Linked DNA regions of Danio rerio. The protein of the gene in region 1 interacts with the protein of each later gene in a biochemical or structural test. Links are inferred from orthologs where the notes say so. Each region holds a gene or a part of one and is shown in the gene's direction. Other genes may lie near its edges.

What was found.
Region 2: the proteins of siah1 (region 1) and pou2af1 form a complex in vitro, tested with the Homo sapiens proteins (2 studies listed by BioGRID). The link is inferred for Danio rerio from reciprocal best matches to the Homo sapiens genes SIAH1 and POU2AF1.
Region 3: the proteins of siah1 (region 1) and sncaip form a complex in vitro, tested with the Homo sapiens proteins (2 studies listed by BioGRID, with this or other methods). The link is inferred for Danio rerio from reciprocal best matches to the Homo sapiens genes SIAH1 and SNCAIP.

What each region holds. Positions count from the first base shown.
Region 1 is NC_133193.1:19,824,810-19,828,409, forward strand, and holds the start of siah1 (E3 ubiquitin-protein ligase Siah1), read left to right. Parts: upstream 1-1,356; 5' UTR 1,357-1,522; intron 1,523-3,600. UniProt on the Homo sapiens protein: E3 ubiquitin-protein ligase that mediates ubiquitination and subsequent proteasomal degradation of target proteins.
Region 2 is NC_133190.1:20,245,585-20,250,897, reverse strand, and holds the start of pou2af1 (POU domain class 2-associating factor 1), read left to right. Parts: upstream 1-1,946; 5' UTR 1,947-2,346; coding exon 2,347-2,356; intron 2,357-5,313. UniProt on the Homo sapiens protein: Transcriptional coactivator that specifically associates with either POU2F1/OCT1 or POU2F2/OCT2. It boosts the POU2F1/OCT1 mediated promoter activity and to a lesser extent, that of POU2F2/OCT2. It recognizes the POU domains of POU2F1/OCT1 and POU2F2/OCT2.
Region 3 is NC_133183.1:459,265-464,577, forward strand, and holds the start of sncaip (synphilin-1), read left to right. Parts: upstream 1-1,667; 5' UTR 1,668-1,683; coding exon 1,684-1,740; intron 1,741-2,375; coding exon 2,376-2,439; intron 2,440-4,685; coding exon 4,686-4,916; intron 4,917-5,313. UniProt on the Homo sapiens protein: Isoform 2 inhibits the ubiquitin ligase activity of SIAH1 and inhibits proteasomal degradation of target proteins. Isoform 2 inhibits autoubiquitination and proteasomal degradation of SIAH1, and thereby increases cellular levels of SIAH.

The sequences.
Region 1 (3,600 bases):
CAAATGAGATGGTTCCCTTTTCAAAAGAGGGTCAGCAACAAACACATAAAAAGTGATTTTTGCATAACAGACCGCCTTTTAATCACAGACACACCCTTATAACGCAAGTGCTAAGGTGGGTTTATACTAGCATTACACAATCCATATGAATCCAGTTCATTTCCCCCACCTACTGGCTGCTCAAGTTAGATAGTTTCCTCTCTATGCAACCTCCACTTTTCAGGTTACATAACTAAAACATCCACTTTTGCTTTTTTCAAGAACACATATTCAAGAAAATATTAAAAACTGAACCAGCTGCATCAGATCTTTCAGCATTGTCGAACTACAGCTGCCTTATTGAATCATGTCTTTTAATCATATTCGACTTCGGTGTTTGAGATCCAATCATTGAGCTAATAGTACAACCATTTTATAGAAAAATGACTATCTTTAAAAGCTGATTAACACAACAGTAACAAATGTATTATTATTATTATTTGTTTTCTTTTTATTAACACATGAGTCAGTGTTGGTGAGATACAAATTTAATTTTTTTTTTATTATCTAAATAGTGTTTCCAATAATCATTCATTCATCTTGTTTTCAGCTTATTCCCTTTATTAATCTGGGGTCACCACCACAGCGGAATTAACTGCCAACTTATCCAGTTTTCCCAATTCACCTATACCGCATGTCTTTGGACTTGTGGGGAAACTGGAGCACCCGTAGTAAACCCACTCGATCATGGGGAGAACATACAAACTCAACACAGAAATGCCAACTGACCCAGCCTATACTCGAAACAGCAACCTTCTTGCTGTGAGGTGATCGTGCCATCGTGATGCCTTGCAATAATCAAATGTTAATAATACTTTATGTAGAAATATAATATATAAATACCCAATTTATATGGGAAAAATCTTGGAACGTTGTAAATTTATATTGAGCAACTTTATTACATTTTCAATAATGTAATAACATTTATTTATTGCATTTTTACTTTTTCTATATTTTTTATCATTTGTTTTAAGCTACAACTTGCATTTGTTTTTTTAATCTACTGTTAATTAATTGTTTTATTAAATTTAGATCACTTGTTAAAATCATATTTCAGTTTTTTATTTATTGTTTTAAAATCCTATGATATGTAGTTTATTTTTATCCAGTTTTATTCAATTTTTGTTTTATACCAAAGTGCTAATTTGTCTAAATAAAATATTATATTCTTATAACTCCTAATCTGAGGACAGTACTTCTTCCATCTGTGTGTTGTTGGCCCAACGTTGTTCTCCTTCCCGCGTTCATGTGTCTGAAGCGCGTTCGCGTATCCTTGCAGCGCCGTTCCCGTGAAAATATATTTCAACAGCTTCAGTCAGTGCGCGACACCGAGACTGCCGGGCGACAGCAGCGTCTCTTTTTAGCGAATGTGGAAACACAAACAACCAAACGATTAACGGACATATAACCTAACGCTGCCCGACGTGTGGTGAATTATTTTTTACAATTAATTCGTTTGGCAGCAGAGGGATATTTTCTGGAGGTAAGTGCAATGTTTAAATCCTCCACTCGAGGATAATGGATCTGTTGTTGATTTTACTAGGCTTAGCGAGCTAGCTAGCTTAAAAAGCGGCTAGCCGACCATGCTATCAACAATTTTACTGCATTCCTCAGCAAAACACATCTTGTGAGTTCATTTTTTTCTTTAACACAATGTGATTCGCTGTGTGGTTCTTATCCAGTAACAAAATGCTTTTTAAATATTTTAAACGCCGATATATGGTCCATGTAGCCATTATTAGCCTGCCTTTGCTAGCTTTATATGCTTGTGCTAAGTGAGAAACACTGTTTATGTGACGAAATCAAATGTAATGCAACCAGTGCAGTGTTTTCCAATCGTAATTAGCGTATGTGTGCAGACGTGTTATTTCTGTTTATATTTCAGTCCTAAGATTAAGACCTCGTTTATTGTCAACGGATCATTTTTGACTGTTTCTAGCCATACAGAGATGGCTTGACTGACAGAAACTGTATTAGTTTGCGGTGCAAAAGCAGCCTCACATTATAAAAGTTAACTTGAACACAGAGACCGATACCAACATGTGCTACAGAAAACATTTTATCACTGGTTATGGTCAATATAACATATGGTGGTGTTGATTTAGAAGTCAGCCCAAAAGAAAAACATGCATAACGTTAAGGCTAACCATCAGCCGACACTGTGTGTAGGGTCGACACGATCAGATCGAGCATGTTACAGTAAAATCATCAGATGTGCTTGTGCATGTGACACCTAAAGGAGCTTAATGTCGTGAATGCTACACATGGGATTTATTTTAAGCTTTCGTGCTCGCAGACGCCTTGAACTTGGCTGCTCGATCACCACTCCGATTTGTTTACAAAGCGGCTGCAATTCGCCATGGAGATCCTATGCTTACATCGTTGTTGCGACTCAATTAGACGGTACTGTTTTTGTTGTTCTTTATCCTTAAGGATCCGTTTTAGCACCTCCCCTATCAATTACAGTAAACGAGGTTAAGTTGCAGGTGGTTGAAGCAATAGCTAGATAGGATAGGGTCAAATCCCTTCTGTAACTAACCCTGTTGTACTAAAGGTAATCTTGTTGTGAAGATGTTTTGATGCATAAATGATGCAATTTCGTGGATGTGACTTTTGCAGTAATATCTTAAAACTTAAATTTACATAGAAAGTATATGTTAACATTATATCGAAACATCTGTTTATATTTTCCAAAACAGCTCACCACTGAGATATGGGAGCAAAAAATATCAATCTGTAATTAAAAAAAAATTTAAATGAGCTAAATAAACATACGTTTTGGATCTGACTAAAGAAGTCTGCAAGTTTACAGTATACAACATTCTTTATAGAAATTCTGTGAATGAAACGGCACAACCCCAAAGAAACAATGCTAATCACAAGGAGAAGAGTTGGCTTAATGTAGAACAAAAATTATTGATTTTATTTTACATTTTTGCATTTATGAAGAAAGAGCTTCGTTATGAATATGACATTTCTCAATTATGGATGTGATGGATGTGAAATTAGCACTTGTGTGACTTTGGTTAATCAAATATAATTGTTGAAAAACATTGACAGAAAGATTTTTAATGTGTTTTTTACTATGCAGTAAAATACAGGCCTACACAAACATAGAAAGGGGTTCACTACTTTGGTGAAAACATAATTCATTTTTAATGGCAAGGTTAACATTTGCATGAAATTGTTCAAAATAAATCCAGGTTTTTAGAAAAGCTTATTTTTAAAAAGAACTGCTGAATGTTAGAAATGTCATGAGGTTAAACACATTTTTTTTTTTTTTGGTTTCATCCTTGTCCAGGTGCTTGGTAATGCAATCCTTCACCTTCATTTGTGAGGTGTGAGGAGAATGAACTGTATACATATTATGTTTGGAAGCATTCTTCACAACGTTTTTTGTTATTATTGTTTATAAGCTCTTCATATACAAATGTAGGCTCTCTGGCGGGATCTTTTTATGCTTACAAGCACAGAATGACTTAAATATGTCTTTAACTATTATATATATATATATATATATATATATATATATATATATATATATATATATATATATATATA
Region 2 (5,313 bases), on another chromosome or scaffold:
TGCACTCATTTGAATTATCAGCAGTAGCAGTGTAACAAATATATATCAACATCATCATCTGACATCATGTCCAGTTTTCAACTAGGAAATACTTTTTAGTGTCATTTAGACAGTGATAATGGTCACAAAATGTCCATAGAGGTGGTTGTAAAGAGATAAACAACACTTGAGGTCAGGTCAAGACCTTATTCCCTTAACTGACGGTTATTGCTAATAAAAATAACTTGACACTTTTGCCCACAGACAAACGCTTCATGCAGTAAAAAGCAAGCAAAAAGATACAAAAAGAAAGGAAGGGAATAGAAAAGAAAAAAAGAAAAAAAAGAAAAGAAAAGAAAAAAGTTTCTCTCGTATCCACCGAGGCCTACTGACAACTGCTTCTTTGCATTGAGAACGTACAGTAGTTTGCATTAGAGAATCCTGTTGTCATTAACCATAAGCATCTCATTCACAATGCATTCTCAATTTGAAGGAAGATCTGTCTTCTCACACAAGGCCAAAGTAAGTATTATTTTTAACTTTGTCTTTTTCCCCTAAATAATAAGCCTTTTCCGGAGGCTGTTTTAAATATGAATGAGTGTATGAGAAAAAAAAAAGAAATCCCACTTGTCAACATGTGCTGCATTGAACTAATTACATGACAGAACTTTACAAGCAGATGTATTTAGTTATTTGTTATAAAAAGCTGTTCCTTGTTTTTGTTGCTGAGCTGTGTGATTGTTTGTGTAATAATTGAGTGAAGTGAGTTGAGAAAAGGAACATGATGAGCTCGAGTGGTCAGTGAAGCTCAAAGTGTGTGCAGGTGTTTCCTTTAAACACTAATAAATCAACTAGCGCCGCAGTTTCAGATGCTTACAGCACTTCTCAGCAGCCTAATTTTAAACTCAGATTTGAACAACAGCATCCTAGAAAGGAACTACATGTACTTACTGTAGCAATGTTTATATAAATTATACATTTACTGTTGTAAATTTCATGAAATTTGTAACTGAGAGTATACCAATAGAGATGCAGTATCAGTTTTTAAAAAGAAAAATCCATTGTTAAAATAAATGTCAGATAAATGAAAAATTATTTAAATCATGTGTCAATAGTCAAATCAATAAGACAAGTACAATTTGTGCTTAGTTATATTTAAAAACTGTTAAATAAACTAAAAAGAGTCTAAAAAGTATCAAATAAAATTGTAAAAGTACACATAAAAAGTCTAACAAAAATACAATCAAAGTAAATGTAGTTTTTAATTGCTTAAGCAATATACAATATTAGCACAAGTAAAAAAATGAACACTAATAAAATATAATGCAAATAAACGAAAAACTAAATAAAATAATAAAAAATAGTGTTAAATTATAAATGTTATAAAATAACATTATAATTATAATTATATATACATATATAATTATAAAAAATGTATGAAAATCAAAATAAATTAATTTAGCATTTAAATAAATAATTAAATTAAATGTAAAAAAATAAAACAAAATTGTTTTTAAAATAATCATTTTAATCATTTAATTTAATAATTATGATTTTATAAGAGATTTTAAATAAAATTAACATAAAACAAAATTAACAAAATCAATGTAATTTATTTGATAAAATGAGTTCATATGAATAAAAATAAATTAATAAAAAATTAAATGAAAATCAAAATGAACCAATTTTGGGTTTAAATAAATAAATAAATGAAATATAACAAAAAAAAATTAAAACAAAATTTTGTTAACAATTAGAATTTTAATAAATTAATTTAATAATTATTATTTTATTAGAGATTTTAAATAAACTAAATATAAATACAATTAACAAAATCAATTTAATGAATTTAATTTAAATAAATGAAATTAAATTAATTAAACATTTTTAGAAAATCTAAATGAATCAATTTGTTGTTTAAATAAATAATTAAATGAAATAAAAATATATGAAAACAACATTTAAATAAAATATAATGAATTCATTAAAAAAAAGAAAAAAATTATATATAAAAAAAAACGTTTTGATGCAATTTGGTCAATTCATTACTGAACATCACAAAAAAAAAAAAAAAAAAAACAGAATCAACCATTTGTTTGCTGCAGACTGTATGAAGAGGTATTGACCACTTAAGACGCTCATGTTTCACTTGATTTTAGAGAATCAACTTGTAACTTTCCAAAAAGTGCCAAGCTGAAACTTAAAATTCTTCTAGTGGTACAAAATTAGTGCGGCTTCTTCCTTTTGCGGTGACATCACTTGAAACTGTTGCTTTTATAAGGCAGCCCACTGAAGCAATTATCAGATGATCTCAGGAAGAAAAAAGAAAAGACTTTTGACCAGATATTAAACATTGTTGCATATCAGATGGGAAAATGTAAGTACAATTTCTAGATAAATAAACTATAGATTTACACATTTGACGTGTATTTTGATGCTGTATGCAAGATTCGTATTTATCGTAGGATAAATAATTAATGTACTGCAAAATGTACTGCAAAAGCTTGATGCATCATTTTTTTTTTTTAATTCAATTCAGAACAGGTGATTTATTCCACATTGATCATTGCAGTTTTGCAAGGCTATCTGTTCTGTAAAGTGACACGATTAATTTGCCTTTTACATTCAGACCGATATTTGCATGTTTGCAAGATGCAATAGTGGTTTATAATACCTCTTTGCCAGCTGTATTATACAGGTACCTCAGTTTTTACATTAAAAGTGTAAAGTAGCTGCTGCCATCAAGACAAGCACAGTAAGACTGAATGACTCTTGAATAGAGGCCTGTTATTTGGCCATTTGACCATAAAACCTCTAAATGATTTTTATTATTATTTTTTTTGTCGTCTGGCTTAAAAACCAATATTCAAAAATAATGAAGTATGATGTTATACTGTGTGATATTTATGAGATTTTATCAGAAACATCAGCTTAAAGCATACAGTTGAAGTCAAAATTAATAGCCCCTTTTGATTTTTTTTTTCTAAATGTTTCCCAAATTATGTTTAACAGGGCAAGATATTTTCACAGTATGTCTGATAATATTTTTTTTCTTCAGGATAAAGTCTTATTTGTTTTATTTTGGCAAGAATAATAGCAGTTTTAATTAAAAAAATAAATAAATAAAATTTCAATAGTCTAGCAAACTATCATTATACAATAACTTGTCTAATTACTCTAACCTGCCTAGTTAACCTTATTAACCTTTAAGCCTTTAAATGTCACTTTAAGCTGTATATAAGTGTCTTGAAAAATATCTAGTCAAATAATATACTGTCATCATGACAAAAAAAATAATTCAGTTATTAAAAATGAGTTATTAAAACTATTATGTCCAAAAAATCTGTTGAAAAAAAATCTGTTGAACAGAATTTGGGTGAACAATAATAATGGGCTAATAATTTTGACTTCAACTGTATATAAGTACACACCTCACAAATCTTTTTAATTCATATTTTTGATTGGAAGCTATACAATATTATATTTGTGCATATACATTAGATTAGTCAGGACTGAAGCCAAATCTGGAGCTTATCTCACAAAAAAAAAAAAACTTATGATAACAGTCTAAAAACCAGAACAGCCATATTTATGTTATATAAAAATATTAAATACAAATTTAAAAAAGAGGAGGAAAAATTGACATTTTGGTTGTAATTTTTTTTGCAATATATTTTTTTATTTAATTGTATTATCTTTCAATTTCTAAATATGTTTGGTGACTAAAATATTTTAATAAATATATACGTTTAATAAATCTATTTTGTTTAAATGCACCAAAATAAATTGCTCATATTTACTGAGAAATAGATAAAAATATTCATTGTCAAAATGGGGTGTACTCAATTATGCTGAACACCGGATAACATTATACCATTAATATGTAATCATAAGTAAAATATTATCAATGATAAGTATTCTACTTAAATAATAATAAGTATAAAATAAAATCATTTCAGGTAACTGGCAAGATATTGTATATTTTTCATTTTTTTATTTAGTTGATGAAGTATTAAATAAAAGTGTATTTTTATGTAATAATAATAATAATAATAATAATAATAATAATTATTATTATTATTATTATTATTATTATTGTTGTTATTGTTTTATTTTTATATTTACTTTATAAATAAATTTACATTTAATTAATTTATATAATAATAATAATTTATTTTATATTCTATTTATTTTACAAATATTTATTTTATTTATTACATTTCAACAACAGCTTAAGAATCATAGTTATAATAAAGTAACACTGGGGATTTAACAGACTACTATTATGTAATGGCGTGAGAATAACATATTTAAAATATAAAAGCAAACATTAATAAAACATAATATTATTAATGAATATTATACTGATATCATTATTTCAGAATATAATATTTAAAAACCCTTTTCCCTAGTAACTACTATAAAATATTTAAAATATAAAAAACATTTACGAGAATAAAACATAATGTTCTTATGTAATATTATACTGATATTATCATTATTTAAATATACTGTTAAAACATAACATTTAAATCTCTTTTCCTGCTATTGCCAAATCAGTACAAGTAGTAGAAAAAATACCAAAATAACACTGATTTTAAAAGATTTCAATTCAAAGCTTAAAGGATAAGATAAATAAAGATTACTGGAGTATGTTGAAGTATTTGAGTATGTTATATTTTTAACATTAAAATGTCATTAATATTCACACTAAACACACTATGTTCAATAAATCATGTCATGCGTGGCATTTCTTTGGACATTCTGCTTGAACTCGTGAGGTCAAGTGCACAGGATTCAAGAGTAAGAGTTATTACTGCTGATAGAACTCTCTGGAAATTTGAGAGCCATTTCAGAAAGCAGGCGGACTGTGGAGTGGCTTAAACTCGATATGCAAAACTGTTGAATTGCCCTCCTTCTGAAAGAAAAGCCTTTACAGCTGCGCAGCTTCCTCTTTCTGGGCTTTTTAAAGCGTGCTGTGCTTGAATTGCACAACTGCACAGGCCTCTTTACAATCATCTTTACATATTAGAGCACGACTTCTCAGTTCTCAGCAAATGCCCAAAACTCTGTTTGATTCTGTTGGAAATGCACCAATTGTATCTGTTCTGTGAGAGCATTTGCTGAAAGGATTGTTTTATTGTTTGCATTGTGACATTAATTAAAGATAAAAGGCCTGACGGGTTGTTTTGTTAGCGTTATAGAGGGTTACAGGTGGTTAGTAGTCGGCCTGTTCTAACAGAGACTGTGAACGTGTGATGAATGATGCAGAACAGGTTCATTACTGATTCATTATTTGGTGATTAAACATTGAGACTTTAGCCTTAAGAAGTA
Region 3 (5,313 bases), on another chromosome or scaffold:
ACAATTATAAAAGAAGAAGCTTCAATCCCGGTTTGTGGAAGTTAAATCAGGTTTATTTTGTACATTAGCATAACAGATATCCACACAGTACTGGAGGTTAGCCTGTATCCTGACACACTTGAGTGCATAAACAGTGCTAAGAGCGCTCTATCTGCCTGCCTGCCTGCGTGTGTGTGTGTGTGTGTCAGCTGCGGTGTGCGTGTGTATCTCTGTGTGTGTGTGTGTGCGCGCATGAACTTTGTAATGATATTGTGTGTGACTCATCAATGCAACTTCACAACAAATTCTGATTAGTAAGGGTTAGTTCTTACTGTAGTATCTCACAAACGCTTCGTGAGACCTGCTTCCTTTAAGTCTGTCTGTTGTCTGACGCAGCCGAGGGAGGAGATTAAAGCATGTGGGAAGGCACGTAGAAACAGTAGGCGGGCAGAACTCGGCTTAAAGGCGCAGTACAACAAAACCACCCCCTGCTGGAAATGTGTATAAAACAGCATCTTGTAAAAGGTATAATGAAAAATCTGATGGGTATTTTGAGCTGAAACTTTATATACACATTCTAGAGACGCAAAAGACTTATATTAAATCTGAAAAAAGGGGAGGAGACCGACAGAAACTCTGAGTTTAGAGAATAAAACCTGCTCCTGACCAGGTTAGATTCACATTGTAAGTGACCACAGTAACTGACTCTGAGTTGAAGTTACCTTTCTTTCAGAAACAGGCTTGACTTACCCTGCATTCTCCAGTTTAACAAACCTGCCACTCTGAAACGGAAAACCCAGAGTTTCTCTCATTTCAGGGTTAAAATACTCGGAGTTTTCACTTAACCTCCTTTCTGAAACAGGCCCCTGGAATCCAGCTTAAGACCTTTGGTGTAGATTGTGTCAGCAGCTGAACACAGAAGATTATAGTAAACTCAAACAGTGTTCAGAGTTAAAGTTCAGTGTGGTTTAATCCTCACTGCTGAGAGTCCAAACTGAAGATCAAATCCATCCATGCACAGCTCCACAAGACCCAAACCAAGCAGGAGGAGTGGAGGAACACACTTCACCAACTGACCAAAGTGAAGGAGAGAAACTTTGAGAGAAACCAGGCTCAGTTGGGCACGACCATTTCTCCTCTGGCCAGACTTCTTGTGCAGAGCTGCAGTCTAGGCGCCGGAGGCTGGAGAGCGCTGGACATCCATCGTGGAGAAGCTGCAGGTGGGAGAGGTCACCGGCTAGTGTTCAGGCCGGCCCTTCAGGATCAATGCGGACACTCGTCTGTCACTGAGGTCTTTCAGGAATCAGTCTCATGCTCTCCACTCCTCCATGACCACCACAGCAGCAGCTCAGGATACGGCCTGGTCCAGGATTATGGAGACCTCTAGAAGTGCTCTGTGGTTGGCATCATCACTTGATGAAGATGAACTTTAAATCTGAAGCATTTAGCTGTAGCAAAACATACTAAATTTACTCTATACCAACATCATGTTTTTATTTCAATAAGTTTATATAGTCTTTTGTAACCACGCCCACTTTCACGTCCACTGTCCAATCCGATGTGGGTTGAGCTGAAGCCCCGCCGCATGGCTCAGAATGATGTCACACTGATGCAGCAGTTGCAGTTTGTGTAATGATAAAGTGTGGATCAGTTATTGATTGTCGATTGGTAATAATCTGGTGTTTTTCAGCATGCTGACTGAAGATGGACGTTCCTGAATATCTGGATCTGGATGAGATTGACTTCACTGATGATTTACCTGTGAGTACTTATGAAATATGCAGATTATATTTAAAAATGGCAGATGCACAGTTGAGTAGATTTGCATCCCATAATCCAAATCATGTTCATTATACTGTAACTGCTAATTATTATTATCAGGTTATTATTATTATTATTATAAAGCAGATTTCATGTACTCGTGGTTATTTACATGGTCAGCGATTATTTACTATTTTCCATCAGCAGCTGTTTTAAAAATCGAAAATACTTTAATGCTTTTAGTCACATCATTATATTTACATATTCATGATTATCTGTTAAAGCTCAACAAAAACATATATTTAATATTTGGGTTAGTGTTTTTGCTTTGATTTTGCTTATTTCATATTGGATTGAATACATATTAGGACGTTTTATTTATCGTAAATTTAGAGTTTTCATTTTTAGTATATATTTTATTTTGATTATTTCAAGCTATTATTGTTTACTATTATATAATTAAAGTTTTATCAATAAATTATTAGCTTTCCGTCAATCCCTGAAACCCTGATCTAGATAAACTGCTTTGTTTGACTTGTTAAAGTGTACTGTAAATGTTTACATGTGCAGTGCTGAAGTTAAACTGATAGCAGTGTTTCCTAATGTGTGTGTGTGTGTGTGTGTGTGTTGTACAGTACTCATCTAAGAGCATTCCTGAACTGTGCCGGAGACATGATGGACAGAACGACGAGAGACAAGGTACTGCGCTCATTCACACACTTGTTTATAGTTTCACCAGCAGATGGCGCTCTGCTTTACAGACAGCCCTATTAAAGGGCCATGAAACCCTCTTGTTTCAGCAGGGTGTTTTCACACCTCTACTTTGGAAAAAGTCAGAAAAGTGGGCGTGTCCAGCTCTGTTTAGGGGGGAGTGTCGGAGGAAGAAAAGAGGCTTGGTGTGGGAGTGTCTATTTGGGCACGCGCAAGTTTCAGAGTCAAAACACACACCCAACAGGGGAGAAAGGGACTGTTTACATGGACGTCTGTAGTCGAATTATTTGACAAATGATTAAATGGTGGACTTTAACTGCAGTTTGGCTCTTTCATTCAGGGAATTCATTCATGCCCCTCGCGACAAACGAGATATTTGATTCGAGGAGCTGCTCTAAGCGTGTATTTTCAGGCAATGTTTGATACCACACGGCGAATGACAGAAAAAAACCTTCAGCATTTCCCGGAAACTTAAATGCACTCGGCAGGTAGTGTCAGAAAGCCGCGTGTGTTATTCCGGTCACTAAATCCTACATGAGGTTATAGTTTGGTTGTAAAGCTAACTTGTTTACACTCGGTGCAATAGTTTGTTCGATATGAATAAAATACGAAATGAATAAACAAAGAGCACTGGTCGCTCACTTACCAAATCTGTAGAGACAGGACAATCACCAGCAACTAGAGCCGCGTCTTTATTAAGAGGAGACTACAAGCGAATCCGGATCTCAGCATTTGCAGATCAGAACAGCTCTCAGGTAAACAATAATCCTCCTTAGACACGTAAGTTATTGTTGTCGAGCGTCGCGTACACTGTTAATCCACACGTGACTCCAGCTGCGCTCTCACAGAGAGAAAATGAAAACAAAACTTCACTGCAGCAAACTATAAAAGCAACACTTCACGCTTGTTTTGCCAACACAACGTGGCGTCTCTGTCGTCTGTGACAGTAATGAATATTAATGAAGCTGCACAATAGAGCGCGCTGATTGGTTTGAACCAAGCTTTACTCATGCATTAATGCAGCACACTGTAAGACGTAATAAGACACACTCTGGCACAGACGTCCAGTCTGCACGCTGGAATACACGCTATTATGTCATGACCGTGATGCAGCTTCAAAAATTAGTTTCAAACAGGAAGTACGAATTTGCTTAAAATAACGCAAAAACATCCAATTTACACTTTTTAGTGAGATATAGGTGTCCTAATAGTGTTTTTAGCAGTGTGGGACACATATACCACTGTCAACAGCTTAAACACATGTGTTTTGGTGTTTCGTGACCCTTTAAAAACTAGCCTTGAGCGCTATCTGCTGTTTAAAACTAGCTTACAGCACTATTAAAAACTAGCCTTGCGCTTCATCTGCTGCCCCCTATCTTCTGAGGTGGTAATAAATATATAAATGTTGCGCACACGGCAATAGACCTATATAAATATGAGCGTAATGACAACACAAATAAGTGCAACACAGTCTAACAACCATATAATTTCAATGTCATTTATTAATTTGATTTATTATTAACTTCACCTAAGGAGACTAGTGGGTAGAGGTCTGCATTCTTCTCTACTAGTGACTAGAGGTACAGCAGCTGCAAGTCGGCAGCTGTCCCATATAAGACTCTGGACAGTGTTCGTGTTTCTGCTGTGCCACAGAGCACCATATGTTACATATTAGATAACGTGAATGTGCACACGGGAGCAGGACTGAAAAATCAGCCCCGTGCAGACCTCTGCTAGTGGGAACAATGTTTTCAGCACACGTCTGTTCTTGGTTTATTTTAAAGACCGCCACTCGATGATCATCCTCAATGTTCAGTTGTGGCCTGTATTTATTTGTATGTATTTGATTTGCCATCAAGCTGTCAGAAAGTTTAACCTGCTGCTATAAAATCAACATGCTGCAGCTGACGCTATTGCTGAGTTATTAATCTGACGTGTAAACACTAATCCTATGAAATGTACAGGCTGATGGCTTTTTATTTGCGTGTTGTTGTTTTTTTTATATGTAACTATTAACAACTGTTGTTATCTTCTGTTTGTTTTGGATAAAATATAGTCATTCGAATAGTTTCATAAAATTTATTTAACTTTTGGAAATCCCCAAGCAACCCCCTGTCGTTGTCTCGTGACCCTCACTTTGGTAATCACTGGCCTAGAGTGCCTTCTGATGTTAAAAACTAGCCAAGAAAACCCTCTAATCCATTCTTGATTTTCTCTGTTCTGTGTGTTTTCAGCTCTGGCCATTAACTGGCCTCGTAGTGCGGCGTCTCACAGCGGTGCAGGACTCAAACCCACCGGTATCGCAGACGTCTACAGTAAATTCCGTCCTGTTAAACGCGTCTCTCCACTCAAACACCAGCCGGAGGAGACGCAGACACAGACGGAGACTGAAGGGAAGAGCTCAGAGACGGACACACCAAGCGGGAAAGAGGAGCCCAGCAAGAGCAGAGGCCTCATCAACCAGGGTCAGCAGTCAGCTTTATTTCAATATTAGTATTATTATTATTTAGATAATAATCATATAAATAATAATGACAATATAATACTACTACTAATAATAATAATATAAATAATATTGAATTATGACAATATAATAATAATAATAATAAAATAAAATAATAATATTAAGTTATGACAATATAATAATAATAATATGATTAATATTATTTATGGCATGACAATATAATAATAATAATAATAATAATAAAATAATATTATTAATGGTATGACAATATAATAATAATATAATAATAATATTTATGTAATGACAATATAATAATAATAATAATATAAATAATATTGAGTTATGACAATATAATAATAATAATAATATTAAAATAATAATATTAAGTTTTGACAATA